2 linked regions of the Stegostoma tigrinum genome follow. The protein of the gene in region 1 interacts with the protein of each later gene in a biochemical or structural test. Links are inferred from orthologs where the notes say so. Each region holds a gene or a part of one and is shown in the gene's direction. Other genes may lie near its edges.

Region 1 (7,892 bases):
ATGTTTTTCTCATAGTCACTCTTCTGTCATCCAGAGATCTCTGGATTTATCCCCACCTTTCCCCCAATGGGAATGTATCTGACCATATTCCAACTTTCTCCTATTTAAAGGTGACCCATTGTTCCACAAAATTGTGTCTGCTATTCTTTGATTCCGATGTATCTGGGCCATTCTCATCCCATTAGAGGTAGCCCTCTCCTAGTTAGTTAGACAAAGAATATTACAGCATGGGAACAGGCCCTTAAGCTCTCCAAGCCTGTGCCACATTCTGCCCTTCCAAACTATCTCTCTATTCCCTTCCTATTCACGTATTTGTCCGGGTCCTCCTTGTATGCTCCCACCGGCGCGTTCCAGGCACTCACCACCCTTTGTTGGAAAAAAAAATGTCTCGCACATCTGACTTGAACTTCTCCCAACACCTTGAACTTGTGTCCCCTAGAAACTGACCCCTCCACCCTGGAAAAACGTGTCATTTTTCCACTCCATTTATGCCATTCACACTCTTTTAAACTACTTTCAGGTCACCCCTCAACCTCCTGCACTCTAGCGAAAACAAACCCAGCCTATCCAACTTTTCTTCATAGCAAAAATCCCCTATGCCAGGCAACATCCTGGCAAACCTTTTCTGTACCCTCTCCAAAGTATCCATATCCTTCTGGTCGTGTGGCGACCAGAACTCTCCGCAATATTCCAAGTGTGGCTTAACTGAAGGTCTGTAAAGCTGCAACATAACTTGTCTATCCTTCTACTCAATGCCCCTCCCAATGAAGGCATGCATGCCATAGGCCTTTTTAACTACCTTATCTACCTGCCTTTAATGATCCGTGGGCCTGCACATCCACATCTCTCTGTACATCAATACTCCGAAGACTCCTATTATTTTTAGCCTGGATTTCTCCTTGTCCTTTTAACACATAGAAGGCTATGCTCATTGGTCCTGGAAACCTTCCCTCCTGATGTTCGATTCTCTTAAAAATCGATCTCATTCCCCTGGCTGGAGGAAAGCAATGACACTTTCCTCCTTGGACTAGAAATATGATAAAGAAGGTAGTTGCAGCCTTTTGGAGATGCCCAGTGTTGGATTTTGCATGCCTAGGTTTAGTTCAGAAACAAGATATTTCACACATTGGTACATGGAGAAAAACAGAAGTCAGTTCTAGTGATGGGAATCTTGAACGATTAAAATAAAATGGAATACAAGATCTGAGATCAAAGCAATAGTGCCTTACACAAACGCCATCTGAAACTGGAGATGAAGTCACAAATTTGACATCACAGGTGTGTATACTTTTACAAAATGTATTGTGGAGGTCAAGCTGGTGATTTTGTGACAGTTTTGTTCAGATTATTTGGTGTTACATGATGTACAAGTCTGAAGCTGCATTAACAGTGGTGAGACTTTCACAACATGAAAACTACTGAATGCTAATGGTTGACCATTGGGAAATTATACAACCGTTTTATACCTCATCTCAATTTCTGTGGAATGTTTTTGTCCCTCCTTCTGTGGAATGCCCTTAGCTCTGTTGGCACTAAAAAACATTTTATTCATTTATAAAGGAAGCTATGCAATTTAGTCCCTTAATCTTTGACAGTTACAGGTTATTTTAGAAAATAAAACACCATAAAAACGAAACTTAGAACTCAAATGAAAGGCACCTTTTATTTTGCACAATGATATGTTGGTACATTTCTTGTTTTCAAATCATCTATCATGCACATTGAGATTGTTTCTTTGCCAAGGTGTAGACTTTAATTGTATCTAATTATTGTAGAACATGCCATTGACTGTCTACTCAGCTCTAAATCCCATAGCTGCTACTTAGAAGGTAGTAGTGATTACTGCTGGTCCCAGGGGCTAGCATCCATTGAAGCCTTTCCAACCAGTGGTCACCACAGGGAATGGAACACCTGCGACACTGATGATTGTACTATGACTCAGCCGGGGAGGTTTCCCTTTGGAGTGGTTGGGACTCTGTTACTTATTTTAGAATCTTTTCATATGATTGAACTGCACACCTATTAATTATGTTAGCAGTGCCCCTGAAGATGCAGTTTTAATGTAAATTCTAACGAGGTGTGGCTTGGGTAACTGAGTACCACTCCTCTTGCTCCAATTAAAACTGGGTCAGAGTCATGGCCAATCTGAGACATAGAAGTTTACAGGTAACTGTGATACTTGTATCAGACAGCTACCTTCAGATTGAGTAACTAGGCAGCTGTGCCTGGAACAAAGCACTGAGGTGACAAAAAAAAAGAAAAAGCAGCAATCGCTGTTGGATTATGTGCAATAAAGCATCGTCCTTGAAAATTAAAAAATTCCTTGTGTTCAAAAATCCAAAAACATTTTTTTCCCCAGAAAATAACATTTATTTGTACCGTCTTCCTGCATTGTCATGAAATCTTAAGTTTCATTTTGTCTTTAGGCTCAGCAAGTTGTTGGTTCAAACGTCACTCCTAGAGCTCGTAAAAATGAAGTGTGATACACGTTAATGCTGCCTTACTATTGAGGCATTAAACCATGGTGCCTGAGATAATGGGAACTGCAGATGCTGGAGAATTCCAAGATGATAAAATGTGAGGCTGGATGAACACAGCAGGCCAAGCAGCATCTCAGGAGCACAAAAGCTGACGTTTCGGGCCTAAACCCTTCATCAGAGAGGGGGATGGGGAGAGGGAACTGGAATAAAATTTTTCATTCCAGTTCCCTCTCCCCATCCCCCTCTCTGATGAAGGGTCTAGGCCCGAAACGTCAGCTTTTGTGCTCCTGAGATGCTGCTTGGCCTGCTGTGTTCATCCAGCCTCACATTTTATCAAACCATGGTGCCTTCTGGTCTCAAGTAGATTTGAAAGATCCCACAGCACTATTTCAAAAAAATTATCTCCGGTGATCAGGTTAATTTTTATTTCTCAACGAACATCACAAAAACAGATCGTCTGTTCCTGATCAGATTGCAGTTTGTGCAAAAACAGGCTGCCGTGTTCTACATGTTAATGGTTACGGAGGTGAGGTTGGTAATATAACTGGTTTAGTAATCCAGAACCCCCGACCACTATTCCAAGGGCATGGATTTGAATCCCCACTATCACAAATGGTGAACTTCAAATCCAATACTTTTATATGAGGAATAACAAGCTAGGTCTAACAATGATCCGATAACACTGTCAATTGTTATAAAAACCCCATCTGGCTGACTAATGTCCATTGGGGAAGGAAATCTGCCATCCCTGCCTGATCTAGCACACATGACTCCAGACCATAGGAATGTGGCAGGCCCCTAGATGCCCTCTGAGCAATTAGAAATAAGCAAGAAATGCCATCCTTGCAAGTAGCACCCATATCCCATGACCAAATGAAAATATATTTTTGATGTCTGAAATGGTTAGGATCATCCAGAGGTTGTAAAAGATGCTGTACAAATGCAAGTCCTGCTTTTTGAATGCTTATGTTCTCCATTAGTTATTTCCTTTGAGAAAGTTGGCACATAAAGATACTGATTTTCAACTGATGACACTGCAACCTAGCATCTCCATCCATCCATTGAAAAAAGGTCCACATAGAAGGTGATGATATCATAAGGTATTTGACTGACTGGAGAGAAACGAACTGCCAATAGGATTAGGAAAAAAAAGGACATTAGAAGTAAGTCAACGTTATGCTACCTGATCACAATTACAACATCTGCTGATGGAAGGAACAAGGAGGGGAAACTGGCTGATCAGCAGTTTAGTGGGAATAAGATTGAGGAAAGAGGAGGGGAGTCTGATCAATAAAGTGAGATCAGGAAACACTATGGGTGATCAAGAGACTAGAGAAAGTGAGAATTCAGGATCAGGGCATGAGGGTATTATAGGATGTTTGGTCAGTTGGAGTAGTGGGAGGCAGTGAGACAGCAGCACCAGATAAGGAGATTGTGTCAGTCGGAGTGTCAGACCTCCACGAGGTCCTTCCATGACATTGTTGGTGAGGGTGAGCAGACAGGATAGAGGCAGGAAGATTGCCTGCAGTCAAGAAAAGCAACCACAGATTATCCTTCAATTCCAGGACAACCCTGGAGCAGATTTCCAAGACTAGGATTCCATACTGTTAGGTGGTCCAGCCAAATAGCTGATGCTTGACGGCTAAACAAGTTGTCAGCCTTATCCTTTCACGTCTAGCCATCTTGCAGTACTGGAATTCTGACTTTATTAGAAAGCAGGACATCAACAGTGGAGAGGAGGTTGAGGAAAAATTTTACATGAGGAATAGTGCTACTTAAACTTTGGTTTTAAGTGGCACTGATCACCAACTCTAATACTGTTTACAGAAATACTTGATGCTATGAAGCCTCTATAAAATGTTCACAGCGACAGTAGAATTTGGTGTACAAAACAGGTGTTTGGGAGAACACAGTGAGCCAAGCAGCATCTGGAGGAAAGAAGTCAACATTTCAGATATTACCCTGCTTCAGGACCAAAGGGTGATACCCAAAACATTGACTCCTGCTTTCCTCCAGATGCTGCGTGGCTTGCCGAGTTCTTCCAGCCTCCTGCTTGTCGACCTTGGATTTCGGCATCTTAGTGTGGAGCTGGAGGAACACAGCAGACCAGGCAGCACAAGAGGAGCAGGAAAGTTGACCAAAGGGTCCTGACCGAAACATCAGCTTTCCTGTTCCTCTGATGCTGCCAGGCCAGCTGTGTTCATCTAACTCCCCACTATTACCTCTGACTCCAGCATCTGCAGATCTCACTTTCTCTGCAGCCCCCCCCCGTTTCTGGCAATAGCATTTGCAGCTGGCTTGTTATGATCGACTACTTCCATGCGATGGCAGTCTCCAATCCAGCTGCTGGCAATAGACAATGTTTACTCAAAGCGCCCGAAACACCAACCTCACTGCAAATACTGATCAAACACGTGATTTATAAAGTTCAAAGATTTTTCTTTGAAGCTAACGATTGAATATTACAGAAGGGGGGAAAAGAGAGAGGGAGTAAAGACAGAGAGGAAGCTAGTAGTCACACTAATCCGAACAAAGGGGAACTATTCTAAGTTACTCTAGAGTTGTACTCATTGATAGTCAATGAAAGCATCCAGTTCAACACGTTCAGCTCAGTTTTAAGGTGGGTGAAGGAGCTGAGGTCAGCGCTCTGAAACTCGCGGCTTTTGGGACGAAAACAAAAGTAGAAGAAACTAACACTTTTGCTTCTAGCGTCTTGTTCGGATAATTCTGAGCGGGTCCCAAATTGCTACGATGACAACGAGAAAGGGTTTCTCTTACCAGGAGATTAATAAAACAGCCTGGGAAGTACTGGAGAGATACACAGAGCTGGCTGCTGTAGGCTCAGGAGCCTATGGAAGTGTTTGGTAAGTGGGATCTTATCTCCTTACCCAGTTTCGTTTTAAGAGATCGGATAGTTTTTTTAAAATTGCCCTGTGATGGGCAACATGATTTCTTCACCTCATCTGACGCTTAAAAGCACACACATACACATAAACATACACGTTCAACGAACGCTATGTATTTAAATACAATGAGTGAACTGAAAAAGTCGTGAACTGGCCCACAGCTCTTCCGGGTTCTCAAAAAAAAACTTGCCATATGTTATTGTGTACTCGCGATATATTTGCCACTAAATGCATTCTTACCAATCTCTGATTTTTTTTTTGACCCACAGCTCAGCCATCGATAATCGAACTGGCACTAAAGTAGCAATCAAGAAATTATACCGACCTTTTCAATCCGAGTTATTTGCTAAACGAGCTTACCGGGAACTTCGCCTATTGAAACACATGAAACACGAGAATGTGAGTGAATGATCATTTCAAAAGTATAAACATGGTGACACCAGGGTTTTATTGAAGTTGCACTACTGTAATAGATTTCTTATCTTCGATTTTCGATATCACCTTATAAAATGGGAGGGTTGTTAGTTTTATCTCTGGAAAAATAAACGCCTTAAATAATCTTTGTTTGCTTATATAATCCTGTTTTGATTTTGCTGGTCAATTTTTCATTCCATTGTTGACCGTGTGTAAGTGCTAGCTACCCATAACGATTTGAGGAAGGGGAGGAGTAATGTAATGGATGAGAGGAAGGGAAAACGGAACAAAGTCATCAGATTTTTGTTTTCTTCGTGGATAGACTAACATTTATTGCCCATCCCTAATTGCCCAGAGAGCAGTGGAGAGTCATACACGTTGCTGTGGCAAATACAGAGAATATTAGAGAAACTGAACAAGTCTGGTAGCATCAGTGGAAATCAGACTTAATGTTTCTTGTCCAGCAAGATGACTTCAGACTCTTCTGGGGGTAGTTAAGAGTTAACTTGCTTACACATTTAAAACCAGGGCCTCAGGTAGTTGTAGAACAGAGAGACCGAGGGGTTCATAGACATACTTCTTTGAGGTTTGTATCACATGTATGTAAGGCGGTTAAGAAGGCATTGCTCGGACTTTTGAGTATAGATGTTGGGCTATTATGTTGAAGTTTACACAGAATGTTGATGAGGCCTCTTCTGGAGTACTGTGCTCCCTGGCCTCCCTGTTATAGGAAATATATTACTAAGCTGAAGAGGGTTCTGAAGAGATTTGCTAGGATATTACCAGGAATGGAGTATTTGAATTATAAGGTGAAGCTGGATATGCTGGGACTTTTTTCACAGGAGGTTGAGGGGCAACCTTTATAAAGGTTTATAAAATCATAAGGGCTATAGATAAGGAGAATGGGAGGCATCTTTTCCGTAGGGTGGCAGATTTCAAGACAAAGCATTATTTTTAAGGTGAGAGGAGAATGATTTAAACAAAAAAATGAGGGGCTTTTTATTACACAGAGAATGGTTCGTGTGTGGATGAACTTCAAGAGGAAGTGATGGATGCGGCTACAATTACAATATTTAATAGGTATTTAGCTAAGTATATGAATAAGAAATGTTTGGAGGGATATGTGCCAAGCGCAGGCAGGTGGGACTAGTTTAGTTTGCAATTATGGTTGGCATAGACTGGTTGGACTGAAGGTCTGTTTCCATGCTGTATAACTCTCTGACTCTATAACCATATTGCTGTGGATCTGGAGTTACAAGTAAGCCAGGCCCAGTAAGGATGGCAGATTCCTTTCTTCATGGACATTGGCGAACCAGGTGGAGTTATTTTTGAAAATTGACGTAGCTACTTGGCCAGCATTAGGCTATCTTTTTAAATTTCAGTTTGTTTATTGAATCTGAATTTCATCATCTGCAGAGGTTGAATCTGAATGTATGTCCCCAGACCTTCTAGCCTAGTGTTCTAGATTACTAATACAGTAACCTTAGTATTACCTCACCACCTCCCCTTAATCAGTGAGACCAGTAAGGGTGGTACTCCATCTATCCAACTTGAATGAATCCACAGTCAGCATCTCAACCCAAAATATATTGAATCATTCCTGGGTTCTTCCCTCTGCCAATCAACTTATAAGTCTATATTTTCATGTGATTAAATTCCAAATATCATGCCAAAGTGTCTCATGGCTTAGGCGCTCATGTTCCAGGCTTCCTTTTTCTATATTGTTCACTTTTACATGCTGTCATCTTTAGGGGGTGCAAAGTTTGTGCTTCTACAGTATTCCTCATAGGTTGGGGGTCAAAGACCCAACACTTCTTTGCGCCATCTCCTTTGTTCAAGTACTTATTTCTGTTGTATTGTAGTGCTCAAAGTATTGTCTGGCTGCAGTGATAGATAGCACTTCGACGCAAAATTCAACTCTTCAATGAACAGTGTACTGAGTACAAAGCCTAATAATATCCTAGATAATGGTCAACCATGTTATTAACCATCTCATCAATAAGTAATTTATCAGCCGCTTTCTTCCTATGCATAATACTTCAAACATTTCTGGATAATTTCATCGTTTTTAATGTTTACATATTCTGTAGGT
Region 2 (7,005 bases), on another chromosome or scaffold:
ATTAATATGCTTGAAGAACACATTACTATTTGTTTTAGTTCCATTCTTACTTACTCTCAGGCCTCCTTATTCCAGCCTTAGCTGGTTCACGTCATATTTGTCAGCCCAGCACCCCATTTTGTCGCATGTGAACACAGACAGCTTCACTATCTGAGAATTCACGACTGGTGCTGAACATTTTGCAACCTTATGATGAAGGAAGGTCTTTGATGTGGCGGCTGAAGATGGTTGGGCCTGAGACTCTACCCTGAGGAACTCCTGCAGAGATGTCCTGGGGCTGAGATGATTGACCTCCCACAACCACAACCAGATTCCTATGAGTCAGGTATGACTCCCCAAGGCACGGGCATGATGCAAAACTCCCCACTGACTGAGACCGAAGAACGCGTAAGAAACACGACTCCAAAAGCCTGATTGGCATCATATTCAACATTCACTCCCTCCACCATTGATGCAGTTAGGCAGCATCTTGGACAGATTCTTAATGTGTAAGGGAATTGAGGATTACAGGAAATGGTACCAAAGTGGGGTTCAGAATTATCAGATCGGCCATGATCTCATTTAATGGGGGGAGCAGACTCGATGGGCTGAATGGCTCCTATCTCTTATCATATGGTCAGTGTGCAAGATGCACTGCAGCAATTTACCCAAGATGGACAGCACCTTCCAAACCCATGACCACTTCAGTCTAGATGGACAAGGGTAGCAAATACATGGGAACACCATTCCCTTCAAGTTCCCTTCCAAGCCTCTCACCATCCTGACTGACAGTCATAGAGCCGAACAGCAAAGAAGCCAGTCCAAACCATCTGTGCCAACTAGACATCTCAATGTGACCCTGTTCCATTTGCCAGCATTTGGCCCATATCCGTCTACACCCTTCCTGTTCATGTCTCCATCCAGATGCCTTTTAAATGTTGTAACTGTACCAGCCTCCACCACTTCCTCTGGCAGCTCATTCCATACACGCACCACCGTCTGCGTGAAAATGTTGCCCCTTTTAAATCCTTCCCCTCTACGTTAAACCTATGCCCCTCTGGTTTTGAACTCCCCCCCCTACCCTGGGGGAAAGAGGTTGTCTATTCACCCTGTCCATGCCCCGGGGAAATATATCACCGTTCCTTCACTGTCACTGAGACAAAATCCTGGAAATCCCCCCCAACAAGGGCAGGGGGACTGCAGGTCATCAAGAAGGCAGCTCACATTCACTACCTTCTCACGGGGCAACTAGGCACAGGGCAATAAATGGTCCCACAGATGATGATGCTCATATTGTGTGAGGGAATAAAAAATAATTTTACTCCAAGTGGGGGTGTTGGTTTGGAAAGTGAAAGACGTGGGACCAGTGATCCATTGTCTCCTCTGCCTAACCCTGTTATCCTATAACCCTGACCCTGTTATCCTATAACCCTGACCCTGTTACCCTATTACCCCGACCCTGTTACCCTATTACCCTGACCCGGTTACCCTATCACCCTGACCCTGTTACCCTATCACCCTGACCCTGTTACCCTATTACCCTGACCCTGTTATCCTATTACCCTGACCCTGTTACCCTATTACCCTGACCCTGTTATCCTATAACCCTGACCCTGTTACTCTATCACCCTGACCCTGTTACCCTATTACCCTGACCCTGTTACCCTATTACCCTGACCCTGCTACCCTATCACCCTAACCCTGTTGCCCTATTACCCTGACCCTGTTACCCTATAACCCTAACCCTGTTACCCTATCACCCTAGCCCTACCACCCTATCACCCTAACCCTGTTACCCTATTACTCTGACCCTGTTACCCTATCACCCTGACCCGGTTATCCTATCACCCTGATCCTGTTACCCTAACCCTGCTATCCTATCACCCTAACCCTGTTGCCCTATTACCCTGACCCTGTTACCCTATTACCCTAACCCTGCTACCCTATCACCCTAACCCTACCACCCTATCACCCTAACCCTGTTGCCCTATTACCGTGACTCTGTTACCCTATAACCCTAACCCTGTTACCCTATCACCTTAACCCTATTATCCTGACCCTGTTACCCTGACCCTGTTACCCTATTACCCTAACCGTGCTACCCTATCACCCTAACCCTATCACCCTAACCCTGTTGCCCTATTACCCTGACCCTGTTACCCTATAACCCTAACCCTGTTACCCTATCACCTTAACCCTGTTACCCTGACCCTGTTACCCTATCACCCTAACCCTGCTACCCTATCACCCTAACCCTACCACCCTATCACCCTAACCCTGTTGCCCTATTACCCTGACTCTGTTACCCTATAACCCTAACCCTGTTACCCTATCACCTTAACCCTATCACCTAACCCTGTGGCCCTATTACCCTGACCCTGTTACCCTATAACCCTAACCCTGTTACCCTATAGCCTTAACCCTATTACCCTGACCCTGTTACCCTATAACCCTAACCCTGTTACCCTATAGCCTTAACCCTATTACCCTGACCCTGTTACCCTATAACCCTAACCCTGTTACCCTATAGCCTTAACCCTATTACCCTGACCCTGTTACCCTATAACCCTAACCCTGTTACCCTATTACCCTGACCCTGTTATCCTATTACCCTGACCCTGTTACCCTATTACCCTGACCCTGTTATCCTATAACCCTGACCCTGTTACCCTATCACCCTGACCCTGTTACCCTATTACCCTGACCCTGTTACCCTATTACCCTGACCCTGCTACCCTATCACCCTAACCCTGTTGCCCTATTACCCTGACCCTGTTACCCTATAACCCTAACCCTGTTACCCTATCACCCTAGCCCTACCACCCTATCACCCTAACCCTGTTACCCTATTACCCTGACCCTGTTACCCTATCACCCTGACCCGGTTATCCTATCACCCTGATCCTGTTACCCTAACCCTGCTATCCTATCACCCTAACCCTGTTGCCCTATTACCCTGACCCTGTTACCCTATTACCCTAACCCTGCTACCCTATCACCCTAACCCTACCACCCTATCACCCTAACCCTGTTGCCCTATTACCGTGACTCTGTTACCCTATAACCCTAACCCTGTTACCCTATCACCTTAACCCTATTATCCTGACCCTGTTACCCTGACCCTGTTACCCTATCACCCTAACCGTGCTACCCTATCACCCTAACCCTATCACCCTAACCCTGTTGCCCTATTACCCTGACCCTGTTACCCTATAACCCTAACCCTGTTACCCTATCACCTTAACCCTGTTACCCTGACCCTGTTACCCTATCACCCTAACCCTGCTACCCTATCACCCTAACCCTACCACCCTATCACCCTAACCCTGTTGCCCTATTACCCTGACTCTGTTACCCTATAACCCTAACCCTGTTACCCTATCACCTTAACCCTATCACCTAACCCTGTGGCCCTATTACCCTGACCCTGTTACCCTATAACCCTAACCCTGTTACCCTATAGCCTTAACCCTATTACCCTGACCCTGTTACCCTATAACCCTAACCCTGTTACCCTATAGCCTTAACCCTATTACCCTGACCCTGTTACCCTATAACCCTAACCCTGTTACCCTATAGCCTTAACCCTATGACCCTGACCCTGTTACCCTATAACCCTAACCCTGTTACCCTATAGCCTTAACCCTATGACCCTGACCCTGTTACCCTATAACCCTAACCCTGTTACCCTATAGCCTTAACCCTATTACCCTGACCCTGTTACCCTATAACCCTAACCCTGTTACCCTATTAACCTGACCCTATTACCCTATGACCCTGACCCTGTTACCCTAATACCCTGACCCCATTGCCATATAACCTTAACCCTATTACCCTGACCCTGTTACCCTATCACCCTCACTCTATTACCCTGACCCTGTTGCCCTTTGACCCTTCACCTCCACACGGTGTTAATAAAGTTGCTTCTTGTTTCCAAGATGGCGGCGCCCATTGCCCGCTCTCTCCGCTGGTTCGGGCCCGGGCTCCGGGCCTTGGGGACGGGCCGCGGGGGGCAGCCCGGGCTCCGTGCACTGGCGTGTGGGCTCAGGCCCTGGGCCGATGGCGAGGAGCCCGGTGCAGGCTCTAACTCCAAAACCTGGTGGGGCCTGGGCCCCGGGGCGCTGCTGCTGCTACTGTGGCGGGATCGGGAGCGGGAGGCCGAGGCCCGCACAGAGCCCAGGCCGCCCTCACGCCTCGGGCTCCCCGCGCTGTTTCTCCCCCAGGTACAGGCCGCTCGGCCCGTTCCCCCAGACAGTCCCCGCTTCAAGTTCAACTTCATCGCGGATGTGGTGGAGAAAACAGGCCCCGCCGTGGTTTACATCGAGATCCTGGGGAGGTAATTACCGGGGGTGGGGGGGGTGTGGATATGGGGGTCAGAGAGGGTTTGCAGGAGGCATGGGGGGGGTATTAGGGTCAGAGAGGGTGCGTTGGGGGGATATGGGGGTCAGAGAGGGTTTGCAGGAGGCATGGGGGGGGTATTAGGGTCAGAGAGGGTGCGTTGGGGGGATATGGGGGTCAGAGAGGGTTTGCAGGAGGCATGGGGGGGGTATTAGGGTCAGAGAGGGTGCGTTGGGGGGATATGGGGGTCAGAGAGGGTTTGCAGGAGGCATGGGGGGGGTATTAGGGTCAGAGAGGGTGCGTTGGGGGGATATGGGGGTCAGAGAGGGTTTGCAGGAGGCATGGGGGGGGTATTAGGGTCAGAGAGGGTGCGTTGGGGGGATATGGGGGTCAGAGAGGGTTTGCAGGAGGCATGGGGGGGGTATTAGGGTCAGAGAGGGTGCGTTGGGGGGATATGGGGGTCAGAGAGGGTTTGCAGGAGGCATGGGGGAGGTATTAGGGTCAGAGAGGGTGCGTTGGGGGAATATGGGGCATGGGGTTTAGAGAGGGGTATTTGGGGGATATTAGGGCATCGGGGTGATTGTGTACGGGGGATGGGGGAGTGTGGGTTTCGTATGTGGGTTAGAGAGGTTTTGCGGGGGAACATGTGGGGCTCGGAGGGGGAGCGCGGGGGGTAGGACGGGCCTCTCAGAGGGTGTGCAGGGTGGAGGAGTATGGGGGTCAGGGAGGGTGCACGGGGGGAATATGTGGGGGCGCAAGGGGGAGGATGGGGGTCAGAGAGGGTGTGCAGGCGGGTACTGGGGTCAGAGAGGGTGTGCAGAGGGATATATGGAGGTCGGAGGGGGAGTGCAGGGGGGAGGACGCGACTCTGAGAGGACGTTGGGGGGATGAGTCCGGGAGTTGGGGAGGGTGTGCAGAGGGATATATGGGGGTTAGAGACATGTGTCTGTGGGGATATTGCGGCGGTTAAGAAGGCCTGCGGGGTGACTTGGGGTATAAGAGGGTCCTCCAAGCTGATGTGGCGGGGGTGGTGGTGTGGAGAGAGAGAGTCTGCAGGGGCTTATTGAGATATTTACTTGCGGGGGCGGGGGGGGGGCCGGCGGAATCGCTTGGCAGGTGAATTACAAAATGGGAAAATGTGACGTTGTGCGGTTTGGCCGGGGGGATAAGGAGCTGAATACCACTTAAATGGAAAAACACATTTGGAGGTGCTGAGAGAACAACAAACATACCAGGGAGATTAGTCCCCGGAAGCTGAGCACAGGGTTCAGGGCATTTCAGGACAAGGGCGTCGTCGTCTTATGAGGACATGAGGGCCCTTGTTTTACACCGTGAATGGTTTGTGTGTGAAATAAGCTGCCAGAGAAAGTGGTGAATGTGGATACAATTACAACATGTAAAAGACATTTCGATAAGTTCATGAATAGGGAAGGTTTGGTGGGATACGGGCCGGGGCAGGCAGGTGGGACTGGTTTAGTTTGAGATTATGTTCGGCATGGCGTGGTTGGGCCCCAGAGCCTGTTTCCGTGCTGTATGTATCTCAGGACATTGTGGGCAGCTGGGGGAGAAATTGCTGGGCCCCTGGCAGAGATATTTATATCTTTAACAGTCATGGGTGAGGTGCCAGGAGACTGGAGGGTGTTAACAGTGTACTGTGATTTAAGTAAAGATGCAATGAAAAGCCAGAGAACCAGTGAGCCTGGCATCAGTTGTTGAAGGGGATCCTGAGGAACAGGATTTACAGTATTTCGAAAAGCAAGGACTGATCAGGGAAGGCGAGCATGGCTTTGAGTGTGAGCAATTATCTCTCTCAAACTTGAAAGGGTATTTGGGAACCTGAGGGGCACCTTTTTGTACACAGGGGGTGGTACGCATATGGAATGGGCTGGCAGCGGAAGTGGGTGAGACGGGTACATTAACAACATTTGGCAGGCATTTGGACAAACACATGGGCAGGAAAGGCTTAGAAAGGTCTAGTGCAGGGAAATGGGGTTAGCGTGGATAGACTTTTACGTTGGCATGGGCCAGTTTGGGCCAAAGGGCCTGTCTCTGTGCTGCGGGACCCTCTGTCTGTAAGTTGGACTGGTTCGGTTTAAGAAGGCTGGTCAGCATGGAGGAGTTTCACAGAAGGGCCTGTCTCTGTGCTGTATGCCGCTGACTGTAAGATAGGCTATAGAACAGAGCAGCAACAGGGACTGTTCTGTGTTATGAGGTTGTGTGTATACTCACTGGAATTTAGGTGAGTGCGAGGCAAATATGCAAGATTGCTCAAGGACTCGACAGCGTAGATGTGGAAAGGTTGGTTCCCCTTGGGGAGGGTCTGGGACCCGACGGTGTCGTTGCAGAATAAATAGTTGCACGTTTAAGACAGAATTTCTTGTGAAGGTAGTGAATCTGTGGAATTCTTAACCGTAGATGGCTGTTGAGCTTGGGTCATGAAGTACATTCCAGCTGAGATGGACAGATGGTTGATCAGTGAGGGAGTCAAGGGGTGGGGGGTAAAGGGAGGAAGGTGGGGGTGAGGATTATCAGAACAGCCATGATCTCATTGAGTGGTGGAGCAGACTCAGTGGGCTGAATGGCCTATCTTATGGTTGAGAAGGAGAGGAAAGGGGCTTAGTTGATGTATGATGGGTCTGAAGGGAGTAAGATTGAGTGATTGAGGAGCAGGGAAGGTTAGGGGGAGGG

The links.
Region 2: of the proteins of mitogen-activated protein kinase 12-like (region 1) and serine protease HTRA2, mitochondrial-like, one has a biochemical effect on the other in vitro, tested with the Homo sapiens proteins (2 studies listed by BioGRID and IntAct, with this or other methods). The link is inferred for Stegostoma tigrinum from reciprocal best matches to the Homo sapiens genes MAPK12 and HTRA2.

Annotation. Positions count from the first base shown.
Region 1 is NC_081378.1:27,509,365-27,517,256, forward strand, and holds the start of mitogen-activated protein kinase 12-like, read left to right. Parts: upstream 1-4,854; 5' UTR 4,855-5,231; coding exon 5,232-5,344; intron 5,345-5,655; coding exon 5,656-5,785; intron 5,786-7,892. UniProt on the Homo sapiens protein: Serine/threonine kinase which acts as an essential component of the MAP kinase signal transduction pathway.
Region 2 is NC_081354.1:188,104,213-188,111,217, forward strand, and holds the start of serine protease HTRA2, mitochondrial-like, read left to right. Parts: upstream 1-3,900; 5' UTR 3,901-3,917; coding exon 3,918-4,315; intron 4,316-7,005.